Anolis sagrei: one gene and its partner. The protein of the gene in region 2 purifies or fractionates together with the protein of the main gene of each other region. This does not show direct contact. Links are inferred from orthologs where the notes say so. Each region holds a gene or a part of one and is shown on either strand. Other genes may lie near its edges. The genes, in order: CRADD and PIDD1.

The links.
Region 1: the proteins of PIDD1 (region 2) and CRADD purify together in Homo sapiens (affinity purification with western blotting; 8 studies listed by BioGRID and IntAct, with this or other methods). This does not show direct contact. The link is inferred for Anolis sagrei from reciprocal best matches to the Homo sapiens genes PIDD1 and CRADD.

What each region holds. Positions count from the first base shown.
Region 1 is NC_090025.1:154,663,133-154,673,343, reverse strand, and holds the start of CRADD (death domain-containing protein CRADD), read right to left. Parts: upstream 3,958-10,211; 5' UTR 3,687-3,957; intron 1-3,686. UniProt on the Homo sapiens protein: Adapter protein that associates with PIDD1 and the caspase CASP2 to form the PIDDosome, a complex that activates CASP2 and triggers apoptosis.
Region 2 is NC_090021.1:241,101,064-241,111,457, forward strand, and holds the start of PIDD1 (p53-induced death domain-containing protein 1), read right to left. Parts: upstream 4,053-10,394; 5' UTR 3,821-4,052; intron 1,275-3,820; 5' UTR 1,166-1,274; coding exon 901-1,165; intron 1-900. UniProt on the Homo sapiens protein: Component of the DNA damage/stress response pathway that functions downstream of p53/TP53 and can either promote cell survival or apoptosis.

The DNA of each region.
Region 1 (10,211 bases), on a different chromosome or scaffold from region 2:
TCCCCAAAATCTGGAGGAAAGCAAGAGTCATCGCCATCTTGAAGCCAGGCAAAGCCTGTAATGACCCAAAAAGCTACAGACCAATCTCCCTGTTGTGCCACCTCTACAAAGTTCTGGAGAGACTTATTTTGCATAGAATTATGGAAAATATAGACCCCTGTCTGATCCCACAGCAAGCTGGCTTCAGAAAAAGCAAAAGCTGCACATCGCAAGTGCTGAACCTGACTCAGCACATAGAAGATGGTTTTGAAAGGCAGCAGATCACAGGAGCTGTCTTCATAGACTTGTCAGCAGCCTATGATACTGTGAACCACCGCCTCCTCCTGAGAAAAATGTATAATATCACAAAGGACTACCACCTCACCCGCCTCATAAGAAACCTGCTACAAAACAGGAGCTTTTTTGTTGAGTTCCAGTGCCAGAGAAGCAGATGGCGAAAACAGAAGAACGGCCTGCCTCAGGGGAGCGTGCTTGCTCCATCCATGTTCTACATCCACACAAATGACCAGCCACTGCCAGAAGGGACAGAGAGTTTCATCTATGCTGATGATCGTGCCATTACTGCTCAAGCAGGGAGCTTTGAGATGGTTGAACAGAAGCTCTCCGAAGCTCTAGGTGCTCTTACTGCCTATTACAGGGAAAACCAGCTGATCCCTAATCCATCTAAAACACAGACATGCGCCTTTCACCTTAAGAACAGACAAGCATCCCGAGCTGTGAGGATTACCTGGGAAGGAATCCCACTGGAGCATTGCAACACACCCAAATACTTGGGAGTCACTTTGGACCGTGCTCTGACCTACAAGAAGCACTGCCTGAACATCAAACAAAAAGTGGGTGCTAGAAACAACATCATATGAAAGCTGACTGGCACAACCTGGGGATCACAACCAGGCACAGTGAAGACATCTGCCCTTGCGCTATGCTACTCTGCTGCTGAGTATGCATGCCCAGTGTGGAACACATCTCACCACACTAAAACAGTAGATGTGGCTCTTAATGAAACATGCCGCATTATCACAGGGTGTCTGCGCCCCACACCACTGGAGAAAGTACACTGCTTAGCCGGTATTGCACCACCTGACATCCGCCAGGAAGTAGCAGCCAATAGTGAAAGGATCAAGGCAGAGACATCTCCAGCCCATCCCGTTTGGGTATCAGCCAGCACGTCAACGACTTAAATCAAGACATAGTTTTCTTAGATCTACAGAGACACTCGCTGGAACACCCCAGCAAGCGAGAGTCCAAAAGTGGCAGGCCCAAACCCAGCACCTCAATTCATGGGTGATACCAGATGAGAGACTCCCCCCCTGGGCACTCAGAAGACTGGGCGACTTGGAAGGCGCTGAACAGACTGCGCTCTGGCACCACGAGATGCACAGTCAATCTTAAGAAATGGGGCTACAGGGTGGAATCCTCGGCATGCGAGTGCGGAGAAGAGCAAACCACTGACCACCTGCTGCAATGCACCCTGAGCCCTGCCACATGCACAATGGAAGACCTTCTTGCGGCAACACCAGAGGCACTCTAAGTGGCCAGATACTGGTCAAAGGACATTTAACCAAATACCAAATTTGCAAAATCTGTGTGTGTTTTTTTCCCTTTTTCTTTTTAATCTGTGTGTTTGTTTTGCTCTGTTAGAATTGTAATACAATGGTTGCTGATGACACGATAAAATAAATAAATAAATAAATATTACGTGCAGCTACTTTGTGCTAGGTGTTCAAGCAGTGTTCAACACTGCTTGGGTGTTCATTTTATGTCTTATCTTTCTTCCATGGAGTCTGCGTTTGGGGGCCATCTTGATGGCCAACATGGATTGAATTAACCTGTGATCTGTGCAGCAGCCAGCAGCCCTTGTCATGACTCTTGTGAGAAGCCCGTTGCAGCAGTCTCTAGCATGCATCATTACATAGTCTAAGAAGTGGTAACATCTAATATGTTACAAATACATTTTTCAAAAGTGAGGAGGAGCTGAGGAGCCTTCTAACCAAGGTGAGAGAAGAAAGTGCAAAAGCTAGGTTGTAGTTAAACATCAAAACAACCAAGATTATGGCAACAAGAATGATTGATAACTGGGAAATAGAGGGAGAAAACGTGGAGGCAGTTACAGACTTTGTATTTCTAGGTGCAAAGATTACTGCAGACGCAGACTGCAGCCAGGAAATCAGGAGACGCTTGGGAGGAGAGCAACGACCAATTTCGATAAAATATTGAAGAGTAGAGACATCACACTGGCAACAAAGATCCGCCTAGTCAAAGCAATGGTATTCCCCATAGTAACCTACGGATGTGAGAGCTGGACCATAAGGAAGGCTGAGCGAAGGAAGATAGATGCTTTTGAACTGTGGTGCTGGAGGAAAGTTCTGAGAGTGCCTTGGACAGTGAGAAGATCCAACCAGTCCATACTCCAGGAAGTAAAGCCCGGCTGCTCATTGGAGGGAAGGATACTAGAGACAAAGTTGAAGTACTTTGGCCACATCATGAGACAGCAAAGCCTAGAGAAGACAATTATGCTGGGGAAAATGGAAGGAAAAAGGAAGAGGGGCCGACCAAGGGCAAGATGGATGGATGGTATCCTTGAAGTGACTGGCTTGACTCTGAAAGAGCTGGGGGTGGTGACAGCTGACAGGGAGCTCTGGTGTGGGCTGGTCCAGGAGGTCACAAAGAGTCGGAAACGACTGAACGAATGAACAACAACAACCCATTGGATTGTTCTTATTAAATTGTATTTTTTGTTACAAATAGCCTTTAATGTTTGTTTCTTTATGATAATCAACTAGAATGTCCTATGGTTGCAGTATGATAGCTTACACCAGGGGTCCTCAAACTAAGGCCCGGGGGCCGGCTGCGGCCCTCCAAGGTCATTTACCCGGCCCTCACTCAGGGTCAACCTAAGTCTGTAACGACTCAAAAGCACACAACAATAACAACAATCCTATCTCATCTGCCAAATGCAGGCCCACACTTCCCACTGAAATACTAAAAAATTTATAGTTCTTAAAATTGTTCTTGATTTAAATGATTGTATTGTTTTTAAGTGGCTTTTGCACTACAAATAAGATATGTGCAGTGTGCATAGGAATTCATTCATTTTTTTTCAAATTATAATCCGGCCCTCCGACAGTTTGAGGGACTGTGACCTGGCCCTCTGTTTAAAAAATTTGAGGACCCCTGGCTTACACAATTATGGAGATACATATACGTAGTGCGGAAAACCCTAACGTTTACTCTCTGCTCAATGACTCAATTTTATGGCCATTGCCTATTTGCCGTGTTTTAAACTACTTTTTTTCTTTTTGAAACGTCCACACAGTCAAGCATTTTTATTCTGTTATTTAAACACTTGAGGCTTTGGCGTCCTGTGTGTTACATCTTTGCAAAGACAATACATGTACAGTAGCAAGAGCCTGGCAATAAAACCACAAAATATTAAATTAAAATAAAGTCCAGTATATTAAACCTATGCCAAATGAAAACCTTTCATGGGAGTTCAGGTTATGTAAGTAGATCCCTTCAACGTTGTTTTGAAAATAAATAAACAACGCGTAGGAAACGTCAGGAAGCTTGTATAGGCTTTAAAAATGGGAAAGAAATGCAGAGAAAACCTCCAAAGGAAGCTTTAAAAAGGGGGAAAGAAGAAACTGCCCAATCCGGAGTCAAACCTTTTATGTGAAAGTACTTACAACTCTAAGCGCGGGAATCATAAGTCAAAAAACCCTGGTGGGAACGGCAAAGGTTACCATGTTCCCTGTAGGAAGAATCGCCGAACAGGAAGTGGGCGGCCGCCATCTTTCTTCAGGGCAGAAGCTAAAGGACGGACACAGGGCAAACTGTAACCTGACAGACATAGCTTCTTGCCCGGACCGGAAGTTCCAGGGATCGTTTTGACGCCGCGGAGGAAACGTGACCGCTTTCGCGGAACAAAAGTAGGCATAAACTCGGGACTTCGCAGAGCTGTGAGCCAAGTGGAAAAGAAAGGTTTACAAAGCCTTTTAGAGCTACTTCTGTTTCCTGTTTCGAGGTGAGGGGAGTTTCACTGGGAGAGGCTTGGGATCAGACCTTGAGAAGATATATGGGGTGACCCCTCCCCCACAAATATATATGTAAATAAATATAGATTCATTGCGTTCCAAAAGTCGCCATATGTAGGGAAAATGGGAAATTGTAGCTGAATTTACCTTTATTCACAAACGATTAATTACACAATTGTACAAAATATTCTCTACATATTGATCCCTTGTTTATACACACAGGAAGTCAAAATGAATACAATGTAATACGTATTCATTTTGTATTTGTTTCCTATATATGAAAACTTTTGATTGTATATCTATGTGAGTGTATATCCTGTAAAAGTTTGTAATGGAGAATTCATTTCCTCCCAAAAGATGTACAAACCTTTAACTGTTCTTAACTCTGAATCCCCCCCCCCCCCCCACACACATGTATATAGTGTAGGCATGGGCAAACTTGGGGCCTCCAGGTGTTTTAGACTTCAACTTCCACAATTCCTAGCAGCTTCAGGCCCTTTTCTTTTCCCTTCCTTTTTCCTAACAGCTTCAGGCCCTTTCCTTTTCCCCTTCCTTTTCCTTTTCGTTTAAGCGGCTGAGGGGGGAAAGGAAGGGGCCCGAGACTGTTAGGAATTGTGGGAGTTGAAGTCCAAAACACCTGGAGGGCCCAAGTTTGCCCCATGCCTGATTTAGAGTCATCTCAGACTTCTGGAGTTTTGACTTTTCCGGATTTGATTAAAATATTGTCTCTAGAAATTTGTAGGTCTTCCCATGTAACACAATAGTCAACTTCGTTCTGTCATTCTGGAAGGGATTTCTAGAAAGAATGCCTCTCGGGCTGTGTATGTCCTCCAATGCAATTCTATGGTTAGTTTCCAGTGGAAGTTGGCCATACGTATAATCAAACTGCAAGATTGAGACATTTCTCGAGATATATTCTCAGGGTAAATTTTTAAAATTGTGGGTTTTTTTTATTTATTTATTGGAGTCTGTGCCCCTGACCTCAGAGAATCGCCTAACAGGTTATAATTCTAGATTTGTTTTGTGTCTTTTTTTTTTTGTCATGTCAGGAGCGACTTGAGAAACTGCAAGTCACTTCTGGTGTCTATATAAGGCATTAAACAATTGACATATGTAAGCTGTCTTGAGTTCCCCTTAGGGTAGGGAAAAGCAGGGTATAAATATCCCAAACAGTTCATAATTCTAAGGGCTTTCTTTTGGGGATTTTATTCTGAAAAATTTCATATTCTATTAACAGTTTATAATTCTGGGATCCCCCCCCCCCCTTTTTTAATGCACCCTTAATAGCCCAAAAAAACTCACAGCAACTCACTGTGTTCTTTGCAACTCTCCCTCATCTGTATTTTATTATTTATGCAGAATCTTAAAGTCTAACTTTAGAGCTCTGTCCTTCAAAAATGAAATTCAATGAAAAATTACTTTATAATTATAATATATGTATTTTGCTCCCCCCTCCAAAAACAGTATACTCTCTTTTTGTTGTAGGCAAACCATTCACAGGGTTTTTCTGGGAAGATTTGTACAGAAGGGGTTCCACATCTGCCTCAAAGGCTGAGAGAGTGTGCAGTTTATCAATCTGGGATTTATTTCCCAAAACACACTGTAGCAATGCCTTTATTAGACCCATTAAAATATGGAAAATATTATGTAAATGTTAAAACTCATAAGCTTTTTCATTAAACATACACAAACTTCTAAGTAAATGCTATTGGGTTGTGCTTTAAAACTAACCTGATAGTAATATCTTCTTTGCTGTTCTAGTCATCTCAACCCGGCAAAACAGTTTTATGTTTTTAACTGGTTATGGGAGGAGTACTAGTTTTTGTAAGTGACAACACTAAGCAATGCTTTTAATTGAATATATGTAAATTCAAGGTAGTGTTTTTAGATTGCATTCTTGTAACATTGTATGTATGGGCAAAAGAATTTACAGGACTGAAAATATGCATTCATGTTGAAAGCAACCATAAAGTGGGTATTTTTAAAATTATTTGAACAGCAGGTACTTGTGATAAAAATAGTTTCAGTACAATAACTTTATTTGTGGACTTCATTCCATTTGAAAAAGTTGTCTCAAATTATAAATGTCTCCTCAAATAATTTAATTGTTTTGTTTTTCCCTTGAGCTTTCAGGAAGCATTGAGTCTTCTTTCATGTCCAGTTGATTTTCAAAATGATTCCTATCCTGTAATGTTATAAGTATTTGTATTTTTAGAAATTAATGGGATATGTTCAGTTGTTTTGTTGCAAGGGTCTGTTTTTGGTTGATCAAAAGGTCTTTAATTAATCTAACCAGTGATGAGTCACTTAAAACACTAATTACAAAGAAAACTTGATGCACACTGAAAAAATAGAAGTACCTTGAGTGGCAATTGAAAATAATGGGGATAAAAGGAAAATTTGTTTTCAGTTTAAGTACTACACATTTAGAAGTGAACTAAAGAACTATGTGCCAGTTAATGATAATGCAAATGTTTGGCATAATGGGTTACAAAAAGTTCTTCGCAATTCTCCCTCATCTGTATTTTATTATTTATGCAGAGTAAATAATAAAATAAAAATGACATACAAGGAAAAATTAGTGGCATGAACAACACAGACAATATACATTCTGAGAAGCTGTGCTGAAATACAAAGCTGATTAGTGGTAGCATTGAAAAGGAAGGTTTTGGAGAGTCATCTGAACACATGGAAAGAAGGTGTAAGGCATAACCCTGCTTTTCCAAACCTGGTGTTTTAAAAATATAGTGACTTCTATAGAGTATTGGCCAGATTCTAGACATAGAACTGCATATGGGATGTAGTTTGGCATGCCAAATAATTTGTGGAGGAATTTCGAGTGGAAAGATCTGATGGCACTATTATTAGGGGTTAACCAAATGGGAGCTCCATAGAGTAGTTATGCTATTGCCTTTGTTTTTCAAACAAATAGGAAGTTCCTTTTTTTACAATTTATACTGTTTTGTTTTTTTACTGTTTTGCTATATATATGCCAATAAAGATCTATTGGATTGGATTGGATTAAAATATGTTGCACCACAATTCCCAGAATCCCCAATGGAGATGGTACTTGGTTTGGGAAGGCTGATTTAAGCCAAGAGGATTAACTTTATACTCCTATTTAAAAATATGTTACTTAATAAATGACAAAATTATGACTCACACCCAGTTTGACTGCATGCTGTTTCCTTTCATAACTCATGGCAGCGTTGGCTTCCAAGACAATATATCAAATGTCAAAAATGTGTCCAATGTCACATGTGCGAGTCACATCAGTTACTACTTGCTATCTAGCCGAACATGCTTATTGCATAAACTCAGACGAGTGTATATCTGAAGATTGTGGCAAAATTAGGATTAAAGCTGTACAACTTTGCTGCCATTGCAGTATATGTAAATCACATATCTTGAGTATGTAAGATTTGCTTCCAGCTGGACTATGTTTTGCTCCCTTCGAAAAAGCATAGTACAAAACCATGCTGATAGGTATGTTACTGGAATATATTATCCAGTCTTCCTAGCTAGAAGCTCCACTTTTTACTGTCCAAATAATATATAAGACATCTAAATGATATCTTATGCATTGTTTTATTATATATCATTTATATGCATTATTGATGGCAGTGGTTGTCAACCTTTGATCCTCTGTGGATTTGGATTCCAAGTTCCAGAATCCCTATTCGCTTTGAGGAGCTGAAATCAAGAATATTTGGATCTCACAGCTTTTCAAACAACAGAACTGGGAACAAATACATAGGTTTCCGCATCATTCCAAAATTACCCTCAGCTTTACTGAAACTTGCAATGCTTCCATGTTCGTGTTGACTATTTTAGGGCCTTTCTTAGGATCTTCAATAACCTTTATGGTGGGCTGAAGAAATGTTAACCTTGTATTATCTCATTGTCTTCAATGCTCTTTTGGGCCAAGCCATCTCATCCTTTTTACACAAGGATGTGACTTGAATGCTGGTTAGCCTCCTGTTCGTGAAAAGTCCATGTTGCATGCTATAATGAAATTTAGAGCAAATATGCTAAGCACTCCATTGCGGTTGTGCAGGGATAATCACAGATAAATGTAAAATCAAGTCTACTGGCAAAAAATCTTTTTTATGGTTCCAAGAAAGAAGAACTGCTGACGAGATCCTTTGAGGTTGTTGAATCAACTGAAATTACCAAATTCTCACTCAAGTCACATATTGAGTGGGGGAGAGAAAAAATACAGCAGATACATTATGCCTTTGCTCTTTGCCTGTGCTCGTTCTGAGAAGGAAGAGGAAAACTCAGGAGAGGAATATCTAGTGGAAACATTGCTTTTCCTAACAAGTCTATACTAGATTTGCCTAAAATAGTGACATTCTCAAAGTATTTAGATCTTTTAAATGTTAAAAATGCACTAGAAACAGGAGGATATGGACAGAATGGTAGATATTCTTGACCCAATGTATGTCAGCATAAGTAACTTTGGTGTGCTTCTTCAAAACACAAACCACCCACAAAGAGCATGGTGACCTACCCATAAGTAGTTCTTAATTACACCATTGTGGTTATGAAACAGAACGGCCTACCAATAATATGGGAGTTTCAAAAGCACATGGAACACTGGAATTTGGCTTGGTGTCAAATCCTGATACAACCGCTGATTTATTATGGGTAGGGTTGATGATATGCCAGAGATGCATGGGGAACCCTAGTTGTTGGTTAGTTAAGAGCAGTGCTTTGGTGTATATTGCTCAATTGCTCTAGCCATTGCATGGGAAAGACACAAAGCCAAGGATGCATGCTAATAACATTTAGTGACTCCTATTGCTACTGGGAGCAGTTGAGCATATATGCCAGTGGTTCTTATTTGTATTATCTGAACTAGGTCATTAAGTGACTTGCAACTAGTTATGCCCCAGCTTCACAACAATGTGTCTAAAAACTCTTGTCAATTATTTGACAAAGTTTTAGACATGTTGCTATGAAGCTAGGGCATAAAATTAGGGTTGTAACTCATTTTAGTGAAATGTATACATACGGAAATAGCGATCAATATTTTACAAATTGTATGTCTCTTGTAGGGGTTTTATATTAACTTTATTGCCGTATTTCATTCAACACTTACTCAGTGTTGTCTTTGCCTAAATGGTGGCAAAAGTGGTTATCCACTGGATAATCCTTAGCATCATATAAATTTTGAAAGCGAGGGAATCCGTTTTTCAATGATCACTTGTATTTTGTTCAACATTGCATATTTAAGGTTATTACACAGGGTCTGAAGTCAAAACAAGAGCCAAAGTACTTCTTGCCAACAGTTACCAACAAAATCTAGATTAATTAATCCCAATAATGCCAGACTTCAAAGGCTGATCACAGCTATCTTCATAATTTTACTATGAAGGTTCAAGAGATATGACACCACACCCCACTTCCTTATCTCGTCCATGACCAGCATCATTTTAAATTAATTACATTTGGCCCAGCCATAGATTGTAAAGTGTCTTGTACTATTGTCAATGCTTACGTTATTGTCGATGTGATTTATTTTAAATGCATGTATTGCTATTGTTATTGCTTGTATTGTTGTATTGTGGGCTCGGCCTCATGTAAGCCGCACCAAGTCCCTTGGGGAGATGGTAGCGGGGTATAAATAAAGTATTATTATTATTATTATTTTAAATAATTATACCCTTAACTGTGTTTTGTACTGGTAATGCTTTTCATTGCACAAAATAATAAAGAACTTAGACAACATTGATCACTTTCGGGTTTTTTTGCCTGCTGTAGATTGATAACATGGTCATGCTAGTTTTAAGACAACAGCATAGACAATATATGCAACCAGACTGCGTTTTGTTTTCATTTGTCTCCAGAGCAGCATTCCAGGTTGGATACTACAGAAGAGTGAAATGTCTCTACACTTAACTTGTCCAGTCCCTAACAGTCATCTCTCTCAGTTATTATATGGCTAAGAGGAGACGTAATTTCTCAGTAGTTGTAGGCTTGGCCAGCAGAGTTATCATCACAGATGAATACTGGAGTCATCAGTACCCATGGGAAAATGGTAAATGCTCCATCCCATTACAAGACAAGCATCAGGGAAGAGGATAAGGCTTGATCCATTAGTCCATCTTCATTCTTCCTTCACTAGAAGCCTTTCACATGATCCCATCCTTTCTTGGGAACTATGGACAGGAA
Region 2 (10,394 bases):
CACACACAATTTTAAGTTACAGTATTAATTCCATCCTAATATTATAATTAGTCAGCAGTTATCTGTGACCTGTTAGCGGATTATTCAAAAAAATATAACGATAAACGTCCTCACATTTGAAGTTGCAGCCCAGAAAATCCAAGCTAAATTTGTTAAGTCCACAGCGGAGGCTAAAAATGAAAATGGAAATCGTTTGGGACAATGCAAATCAGATTTTGTTATTGTTACCCTGCCTATAGGGATTGTCACTGCTACTGTAATTTGAAAGAGCTTGTTCAGAGAATAAGTTTTAATATTTATATTGGAACGTGTATACTGTATTTTTAAAAGATGTATATTATTTGATGTTATGGCCTATGGGTAGTACAATAAACAAGTCATTCATTAAATATTATCATTATGTGCTGATGATGGAAAGGCTGTGCCTACCTGGCATCTTGCGCATGTCCACAGATAGTGACCCACCTGCATGGGTCTCCAAGGATGTCACACCCTGAAGTGGTGCATGCCGCTATACAGCCAAGACATCAGGGAGCAACCTCCCATCAACTGCAGTTCAATCAAAACTTTATTCCAAAGGGGATTCAGGGTAAAAACAAAGCCCTTTCAGTGAAAAATAATGGAACCTGCAAGCCTAAACAACAGCAAGTGCTGTTGAAAACCATAAGTTTACATCTGAGTAAACAGGCGATTCTGCCAAGAAAAGAATGCCAAAGACCTCATTCCTGCAGATTTCTCCATTGCATATTTACTCAAAAGGAAACCCCATGAGTTCAGTTCCTCTGTGAACATGCATATGTTTGAAACCTGGGGCTACAATTTTCTAATCCTTTCCTGGAAGCAAGTCCCACTGAACAGAGCAAAGTCTATTTGGACCAAAAATTATTGCCATGCAGTTACCTTTGAGTACAAGAGATTTCAGGCCCTTCAGGGCAGGAATGATGCTAAGGGTGGAAGCAATACAGTCCTCGTTGCAGCTCAGTCTCAGGAATTCCACCTGCTCCACTTCTTCCCTTCGCGTCTCAAACAGCCGAAGGAAGAAAAGGCAGCCCTCTGCATAGACGTCCAAGTTGAGCCGGTTGCCAGCCAAGCAAGAGCTGGCAGGCCTCTCAGCGCCCCAAGCCCCCTCCCCCAGGGGGTCCCCAAGCTCCTTCCGCCCTGCCATCTTCTGGTGTTACATTGCCCTCGGCTGTTCATGTTCCGACTTGCCAATCAAACAAGAGCTGGTGGTACCACAAATAATTAGGAGCGGAAATGTCGGAGAGAAGCTGCCTCTGGAAAGAAAGTGAGGAAGAAGAAAAACATTTTAAAAGCACACAGATTTGAAGAAATGATCAGGACCAAAAAAGGAACAGAAATTTTACTTGAAGCAGTTAAGGTATCAGATATAAATATTGCCAGAATCCAGTAAGACATCCTTTAGCTGGAAATGTATTTAAGATAAAGGTTTCCCCTTGACATTAAGTCCAGTCGTGTCCAACTCTGGGGGGCGGTGCTCATTTCCATTTCCAAATCAAAGAGCTGGCGTTGTCCGTAGACACCTTCAAGGTCATGTGGCTGGCATGACTGCATGGAGCACTGTTACCTTCCCACAGAAGTGGTAGCTATTGATCTACTCACATTTGCATATTTTCCAACTGCTAGATTGCCAGAAGCTGGGGCTGACAGCAGGAGCTCACCCTGTTCCCCAGATTTGAACTGCCAACCTTTCAGTCAGCAAGTTCAGCAGCTCAGTGGTTTAACCCACTGTGCCACCGGGGGCTCCTATTTAGTACGGATAATATGGCAAAGGGTCAAAGTGGGAACAAGAAATCTAAAGATTAAATGCATTCTGGGTGGATTAGTTACACGAGCCAACACATATTTTGATGCCTCAAACATTAGCCCTATTTCTGGGTATATCTGCCCTGCTGATTCCAAAAATGATACCAATTTTCCCCTATCAGCTGTAGTTTTTGAGATACAGAACATATGCCATATACCAGTCTTCATTTGCTCACCCACAGAAAACCTGCCTCATCACACATGGATGCACTTTAAATCCTGTTCCTGCCTCCTGCAGAATTTGGGGTTTGTAGTGAGGCTGTTAAATCCTCCTAAAGCACAAACACTAGAATTCTGCGGGAGGCAGAAACTGGATTTAAAGTGGATTCATTCTCTACTGTGATGATGTGAATACCACACCTAAGGAAGTAGAGCTGCTCCAATACAATTTTCTTAGGCCCTTTCCACACATCTGAATAAAATCCCACATTATCTGAACTGGAATATATGGCAGTGTAGACTCAGATAATCCAGTTCAAAGCAGATATTGTGGGATTTTCTGCCTTGATATTCTGACTTATATGGCTCTATGTATTTGGGGGTGGGGATGGGCTGGGCTGTTTCAAGCACCAAATCCCCATTCCACCCATTAATGCCAGCCACAGGGCCCTTCCCCACAGCCATGCAACCCAGAATGTCAAGGCAGAAAATCCCACAATATCTGCTTTGCATTGGGTTATCTGAATCCACACTGCTGTATATTCCAGTTCAAAGCAGATAATGTGGGGTTTCCTTCAGCTGTATGGAAGAGGCCTCTGATGCAGGTCAAACGTCAGGAGAAAGTCCTGCTGGAACAGGGCCAAACAGCCCAGAAACCATACAACACCCCAGTGAGGGAAGCTTGTCTTCTGCTGCTTGCACTGCTTGGTTCCGATTACAAAAAAGGTGATGATTAAATCCGTGGATGAATTTGCTAATACAGTAGTAATAGCAGTTGTTCAACAGTGGGTTAGATTACCTGGAGAGAAGTTAGAAGAGGTCCCTTTGGGAGGACCCTTCCACACAGCCTTGTAACCCAGAATATCAAGGCAGAAAATCCCCCAGTTTCTGCTTTGAACTGGGACATCTGAGTCCACACTGCCATATATCCCAGTTCAAAGCAGAAAATGTGGGGTTTCAGATGTATGGAAGGGGTCTTAGAATGTGTTCAGCACAGTTTGGATGTCTTTGGGTTGCTGTGCTTGCAAGGGGTTGGACCAGACCAACCATGGGTTACTTTCTAACTTATTATTGAAGGCTTTCATGGCCGGAATCATTGGGTTGTTGTAGGTTTTGGGGACTGTATGGCCTGCATCTATGGCAGGCATCCTCAGGGGTTGTGCGGTCACAACCTCTAAGGCCCGTCGCAAACTAGGTTCCTGCTGGAGAAACCCTTGCTAGCAAGTCCTTGATGTCATGAGCCTGCGCCTCTCTCCCCGCCCCTTTCTCCACCCCTTTCTCTTTGCGAGCGTGGTTTTTCCTTTGCTAGGGCAGCATTGCCCGCATTTTCTCTCAGTTGAATTCTGCCAACTGAGAGAAAATGCGGGCAATGCTGCCCTAGCAAAGGAAAAACCACGCTCGCATGGAGAAAGGGGCAGAGAAAGGGGCGGGGCGAGAGGCGGAGTCTCGTGACGTCAGGGACATGCTAGCAAGGTTTTCTCTCGCAGGAACAGAGTTTGCGACGGCTCTAAGGACCTCACAACCTCTGAGGATGCCTGCCATAGATGCAGGCGAAACGTCAGGAGGGAATGCTTCTAGAACGTGGCCATACACCCCGAAAAAACCTACAGCAACCCAGTACTTTCCAACTGTTGGACTCAAGTTGTAGTGTGAAGGAATGAGAGATGCCAAACTCAGGCTAAACCAGGCATAGGCAAACCTGGGCCCTCCGGGTGCTTTGGACTTCAACTCCCACCATTCCTAACATCCTACTGGAGGGCCGAAGTTGGCCCGTGCCCGCTTGTGGACGCGCGCGCCTGCACGCTCCTTTCCAGGCGTGGAGAGAGGGGAGCCTTACCGCGGCCGGGAGGAGGACATTCTCACCCGTCTCTTTCTTCCTGGGAGTTTGAGAGAGGTCACGGTTTCCAACGAGGACCCGCTCCCACACCCCCGGCCGCCTTGGCACCTTCCCGCTGCAAGAACTCCAAACTTTTCCCCTTAAAGAGGCCGCTCCCTCCCGCTTCCCCGGTCAGTCACTCCACGCGCTTCCTTGCAGCTCCCCCACGGGAGGCGGAGGGTTACTCCGAAAAGGAAGCGAAGCGGCCGGTTTGGGGCAGCGGGGAGGGGCCGGGAGAGGCGCGCCTTCCCAGCCAGAGCTCCCGCCTCTCCTTTCTGTCGCTGTGCGGTGCTTTCAAGTCATTTCTAACACTATGTAAAATGCTGCCTTTTCATAGACCCCAAGGGCCATCTCCCCAACCCGGCCCCCATTCTGCCATTCAGGAACACACAATCTAAGCACCCCCGACAGATGGCCATTCAGCCTCTGCTTCAAAACCTCCAAAAAAGGAGAACCCACCACTCTCCAAAGCGGCACAGTCCCATGTCAAACAGCGAATACCATCTGGAAAATATTCCTAATGTTGGATGTTGTGATTATTACTTACCAATAACACAGACAATCTCCGTGTCATGGTTTTTAAGCCTTTTCCTGTGGTTATTTGAGGTGCTGATTTAGAAAACTGCATTGGGTAGACCACATCAGCTTTAGTTCTGCTGTATTTAGAAAACTAGAGTTCTTAAGCCACCAGATACTACATTATCTGACTCTATCAATCCCCACCAATGTTGGTTAACTGATAGACCATTGCATGCATAAAAGGTGCAAACTTAATAGCAATTTGCATTATGACCTTATTAGGGAGTAAACTTCAAAGGGCACAGAGGGTTCACTTTTGAATGACCAAGATCTGTGTTCTAAATACTTCTTCAAAGGCACTATTCAGCTTTAATGGAATGTATGAGTGCAAACAAAGTGAAGTTTAACTCAGACAAGACAGTGATACTCCTGGTCAATCGAAAGACAGATCTGGGAATAGGGATTCAGCCTGAAAACACTGGAAAATGCAGAAAATGCAAATTGAAGCTTAATCCAGACAAGACAGGCGTGCTCTTAGTAAGTAAACAGATCTGGGAGTAGGGAGTCAGCCTGTGTTAGTTGGGTTTACACTCCCCCTGAAAACACAGATTAGCAGGTCAGGATTTGGCTCTGAACCTGGAGGTTCAGCTATCAGCAGTGACGAGGGGTGCTTTTGCACAGTTAAAGCTATTGTGCCAAATGCACTAGTTCCTAGTGATGTCTGATCTGACCACAGTGGTTCATGCCTTGGTTACATCCTGGTTGGACTACTGTAATGTGCTCTACATGGGGCTGCCTTTGAAAAGTGCTCAGAAACTTCAGTTGGTCCAGAGTTGCAGCCAGACTGCTAACTGGGGCTGGCTACAGGGAGGAGACAACTCCTCTGTTGCAACAGATCCATTGGCTGTCAACACATTTCCAGGCACAGTACTGGTTTTGACCTACAAAGCTGTATATGGCTTAGGTCCAGGTTTTTTGAAAGACTACATCTCTTTGTATGAACCTGGGAGGCATCTATGATCTGCTGGGGAGGGCATTCTCTCGGTCCCACCACATGCTCAAGGGCAGTTGGTGGGAACGCAGGAGAGGGCCCTTTCAGTGGCTACTACCAGGCCGTGGAGCTCCCTTCCAAGAGACACCAGGATGCCCATCCCTGCTGGCCTTTTGAAGGCAGAATGTAGACCTTTATGTGCCAGGCGACACTTGGGGAAGGACAAGGTGCAGGCTTTGGAGAGGTTGTGGGTGGGATTGTGAGTTTTAAATGCAATGTTAACCTAAATCCATGCAGTACTATTTGTTTTTAAATTTTTGTATTTTCTATGTCTTAAATTGTGCTGTGATTGTGTGACTGTTAGCCGCCTTGAGGCCCCATTGGGGTGAAAGGCAGGGTACAAATAACATAAATTAATAAACAAAACTGCATGTCTACTCGGGATATAATCCCAAATCACACACCTGCCATTTATCAAGCCGTTCCCGTCAGGAGCCGAAGTTCCAAAATCTACTCCCAGTTCACAAAAAAATGTTGTTCAAGAGTACTCTTCGCAGAGAAGGCTACAGACTTTGTCAAAATGTTCACAAACTAGATTAGACATGGGTAAACTTCATCCCTCCAGGTGTTTAGGACTTCAACTCCCACAATCCCTAAGTATTGGAAATAGCAACCTTCCAAGCCCCCACGGACTGTTTGTTAATGTATATACAATTGTTAGCCTGCATTCTATGTGTGTTTTGATTTGTCAGTTTGGCTGTACCTCTTTGATGTGGGAGGAGTTATAGATGTGATTGTACTGAGCATGTGCAAACTCAGGACTCCTTTTTGTGTTCTATATGCTTATAGATTTCAATAAGAGAAGTTTGGTTTCAGACCTCTTTGGAGGTGGATGTGTGTGCTCATGAACTTACAAGACTATGTGCTTGTACACTGAATATATACAAGTTTGTTACTAAATAAGATATTTTGTTTTTCAAAGACTACTTTTCCCCCCGCCTTGAAGGAACCTGCTGGCCTGAGCCTCCCTCCAGCCTTGCGTGCTCTCCCTCGCACTATGCTGCCGTGTGCTGAGCATGCCTGCTCTCCCCTCTCCACTTGAGTGCATGTTTTAAGGGAGTGTATATCTTTTGGGCAACAGCAAATTCTACTTCAAACAACCATCTTCTTTTATCCAGATATATTTTTTGAAGTGGCTTGTCTTTTATCCTTGGCTGTTTAAAGACATGTTCCTCAGTTTAACAGCCGAGCTACCTGTGTGCTGTTACATTGTTTTATGAGTATCACCTTGTCTTAAGGGTTATAGCCTGTGCTTGACGGGGTTACACTCCCCCTGAAGGCGCAGGTTCGCAGCTTGGGAGTGATCCTGGACTCATCACTGAGCCTGGAACCCCAGGGGAGCTTTTGCACAATTAAAACTTGTGCGCCAGCTGTGCCCGTATCTTGGGAAGTCTGACTTGGCCACGGTGGTACATGCTCTGGTTACATCCCGTATAGACTACTGCAATGCTCTCTACGTGGGGTTGCCTCTGAAGACTGCCCGGAAGCTACAACTAGTACAAGAGCGGCAGCCAGATTACTAACGGGAGCGGGGTACAGGGAGCATACTACTCCTCTGTTGCGCCAGCTCCACTGGCTGCCAATCAGCTTCCGAGCACAATTCAAAGTGCTGGTGTTGACCTATAAACTCCTAAACGGCTCTGAACCTATTTACCTGTCCAAACGGATTCTCCCCTATGAACCATCAAGGTTGTTAAGATCTTCTGGAGGGGCCCTGTTCTCAGTCCCACCACCTTCGCAATCGCGTTTGGTGGGGACGAGGGACAGGGCCTTTTCGGTGGTGGCCCCTCGGCTTTGGAACTCCCTCCCGATGGAGATTAGATCTGCCTCTTGCCTCCTGAAGTTTAGAAAGCAGGTAAAAACATGGCTTTGGGATACTGCATTCACAGATTGATGACTGAGTCAATAACTACTGACCTTTCTGGCGGATGGTGATGAATTTGTGATTCTTTTGGACGAACTGATTTTTGCTGTAATTTGTATGAAGTGTATTTTAATGTATTTTATATTGATGACCTATAATGTTTTTCTTATTGTATTGAATTTTATGTTGTTAGCCAGCCTGAGTCCCTCCCCAGAGGTGAGAAGACCGGGGTATAAAAACTCTAAATAAATAAATAAATAAATAAATAAGGGGTGACTTCTAACAAGGCCATACTTTTTTTTTTGGACTGTTGGTTTTCAATAGAGATTCACATTTGCCAAACGGAGGTGACACCATTTTTACCTTTGCAGTAATTTCCAAAAGATTATGGACATTCCAATACTAACAGCCTACCAGCTTTTAGGACTTGTGGGAGCTGAAATCCAAAACACCTGGAGGGCTGGTTTGCCCATGCCTGAACTAGATTCATTCTACACCCTGACTCTAAGTCAGGCAGGCAGGGGCAGATTTTGGCCTTTCCTCCAGGTGTTTTGGACTTCAACTCCCACCATTCCTGACAGCCTCAGGCCCTTTCCTTTTCACCCTCAGCCGCTTTGGGAGGAAGGCCAAAATCTGCCCCTTCCTGCTCTAAGTCGAAGGGAAGCTTCCCGGAAGATGACTTTTATAGCGCAGTGACGTGGCTGCTGCCAATCATCCCATTGGCGATTGGATCTTTTTCCACCAATACCCAACCGGTTTACTGGGAGGTGGCGGGAAGAACCCCGCGCTGTAGGCTCCTCCCCTTCCTTTTCGCCGTTGCCGTCGTCGAGAGCGCACGTCCCGAGGCCCGGCGTTTGCCCAAGAACGCGTCCAAGTAGGTGCTTTTGAGGGTTCCCCCCCGCCCCCCTGTAGTTGGATGCGCTCGGGTCGCATGCCGTCTCCTTGAGCCCGTTGCGCGAATGTAGGGGCTGGAGTGGACGATACCATGTGCGGCGGCTGGGGAGGGGGGGGGTGATATGGCGGCCATGTGCTTCCTGAGTCCTAGGAAAAGAAGGAGGAGGAGGAAATGGTGGCGGCCTCCATGAACGAAGAGGGAACATGAGCAGCTCGATGCCGCGTGGGGAAGGCCTCTGAACCTACTTTCTTACAGTTTGAAGCATTTGGCTGCAAAGTATAAGAAACTTAGGCGGAAGCAAATACTGAGAAATGAGAGAGTGCCTTTTCTCTTTGGGAGGCCTACTCTGATCAGCTTTCTGGAGTGGCTTTCACGCCCTTTCTTCCCCTTGTAGGGCTTTACGACGCAGTAAAGGCATACCATGGTACTTTCCTCTACTTTTGCTGTTCTGCTTTCTCGGTTGCAGCAATCATGAGGGCATCTACACTGTAGAATTGATGCAGTTTGGCTTCGCTTTTAGGCTCAATGCCATGGAATCCTAGGAGCTTCGGTTTAGTGAGTCGCCAACACTCTTTGGTGGAGAAGTATTCCCTAGCATTTGAGCTTTGGCACTTAAAACAGTGTTAAACTATATTAATTCAAAACAAATAATAATAATAATAATAATAATTTATTTATTTATTTATTATTTCAACTTATATGCCGCCACTCCCCTAGGGCTCGGAGCGGCTTACAAGAATAGCTAAAATCTAACAAAATTTAAAAGCAGTTTAAATAATAATAATAATAATAATCTTTATTTATACCCTGCCACCATCTCCCCGAAGGTGACTCGGGGCGACTAACATGAGGCCAAGCCCGAAGATACAATATCTATATACATAAAAATTTAATGTTTGTTTGTGGGATTAACATAATTCAAAAAACCACTGGACAAATTGACACAAAATTTGGGCACAATACACCTAACAGTCCAACAAGTGTCCATCACCCATAAACACACATACACACAGAACCCCAGTGGAACAGACTTAAAACCCCCAAAAATCCACCATATATACATATACACATACACTCATATACATATGCACACATTCATACACACGCGTATATATGCACAAACACACACAAATATACACACGTGTATATATATATACACACATACCCACATATATACATGCACACATACATATACACATGCACGCACATATACATGCACACATACATATATACATATAAATACAAATATGCATATAAACAAGCACACACATATACACAATATGCATGTACACCTATAAACACACATATATATACACACACAAAAACACATATACACAGACGGCCACAGCAATGTGTGACAGGACAGCTAGTAACTGAATAAAATACAAAATTCAGACAACAAAGCCACATCAGAATAAAATACATAAAATAAATATAACAAATAAATGTCATATAAATCGAACAAAATGGGCAGGCCAAATGGGCGAGGTAAAATGATAAAACCCTGGATGAGGTAAGAATACAAAAAAGTGTAATTGAGAGGAGCCCAAAAGGGATGAAGAGTGGCATTAGTCTTTCAGTTTAGAAAGGGGGAAAGTGCATCAGAGGGGCAACACTGTGGATGGAACAAACAGAAATAGGATAAGTAGTCATTCTCCAAAGGCATATCGGAAGAGCCAAGTTTTCAAATTTTTCTTAAAGGCTGCTAAATTGGGGGCTTGCCTGATCTTGCCCAGTAAAGTTTCCTTGGTAGTATGTGTTCAGATAGAGGTTGCTTTTGCCTGTCAGAAGCTGAGAAAAGTGTAACTTGTCCAAGATCACCCAGGTTCGAACCTGAGGCTTCAAAGCTGTAGTCCAGTATTCTCCCTGACTTTTTTGGATATCATGTGGTCTTCCAGAGATAGGTGTTGTCGGTGGCGAGGAATGCTGGGGATTGTGGTCCAGCAACATCCAGTAGGTCCTGTGGTTCCCACAACTACTTCAAGAAAAAAGTGGTAGTGGTAGGGAATTTGTGACTTATTTACATCAAAAATGTTTGTTGTACCAGTGAGGTTTGGCCCTGTCTTATAACTCTTTTCCTTTATTTTCTTGAGCTTTCTTGTGCAAGAGATATGAGTGTAGTTTTTAAGAGGAAGGATAAACTGAATTTTGCTGTCATTTATATGTGTTTCCCCCGAACAGTCAGGCACTATCACTGTCTTTATTA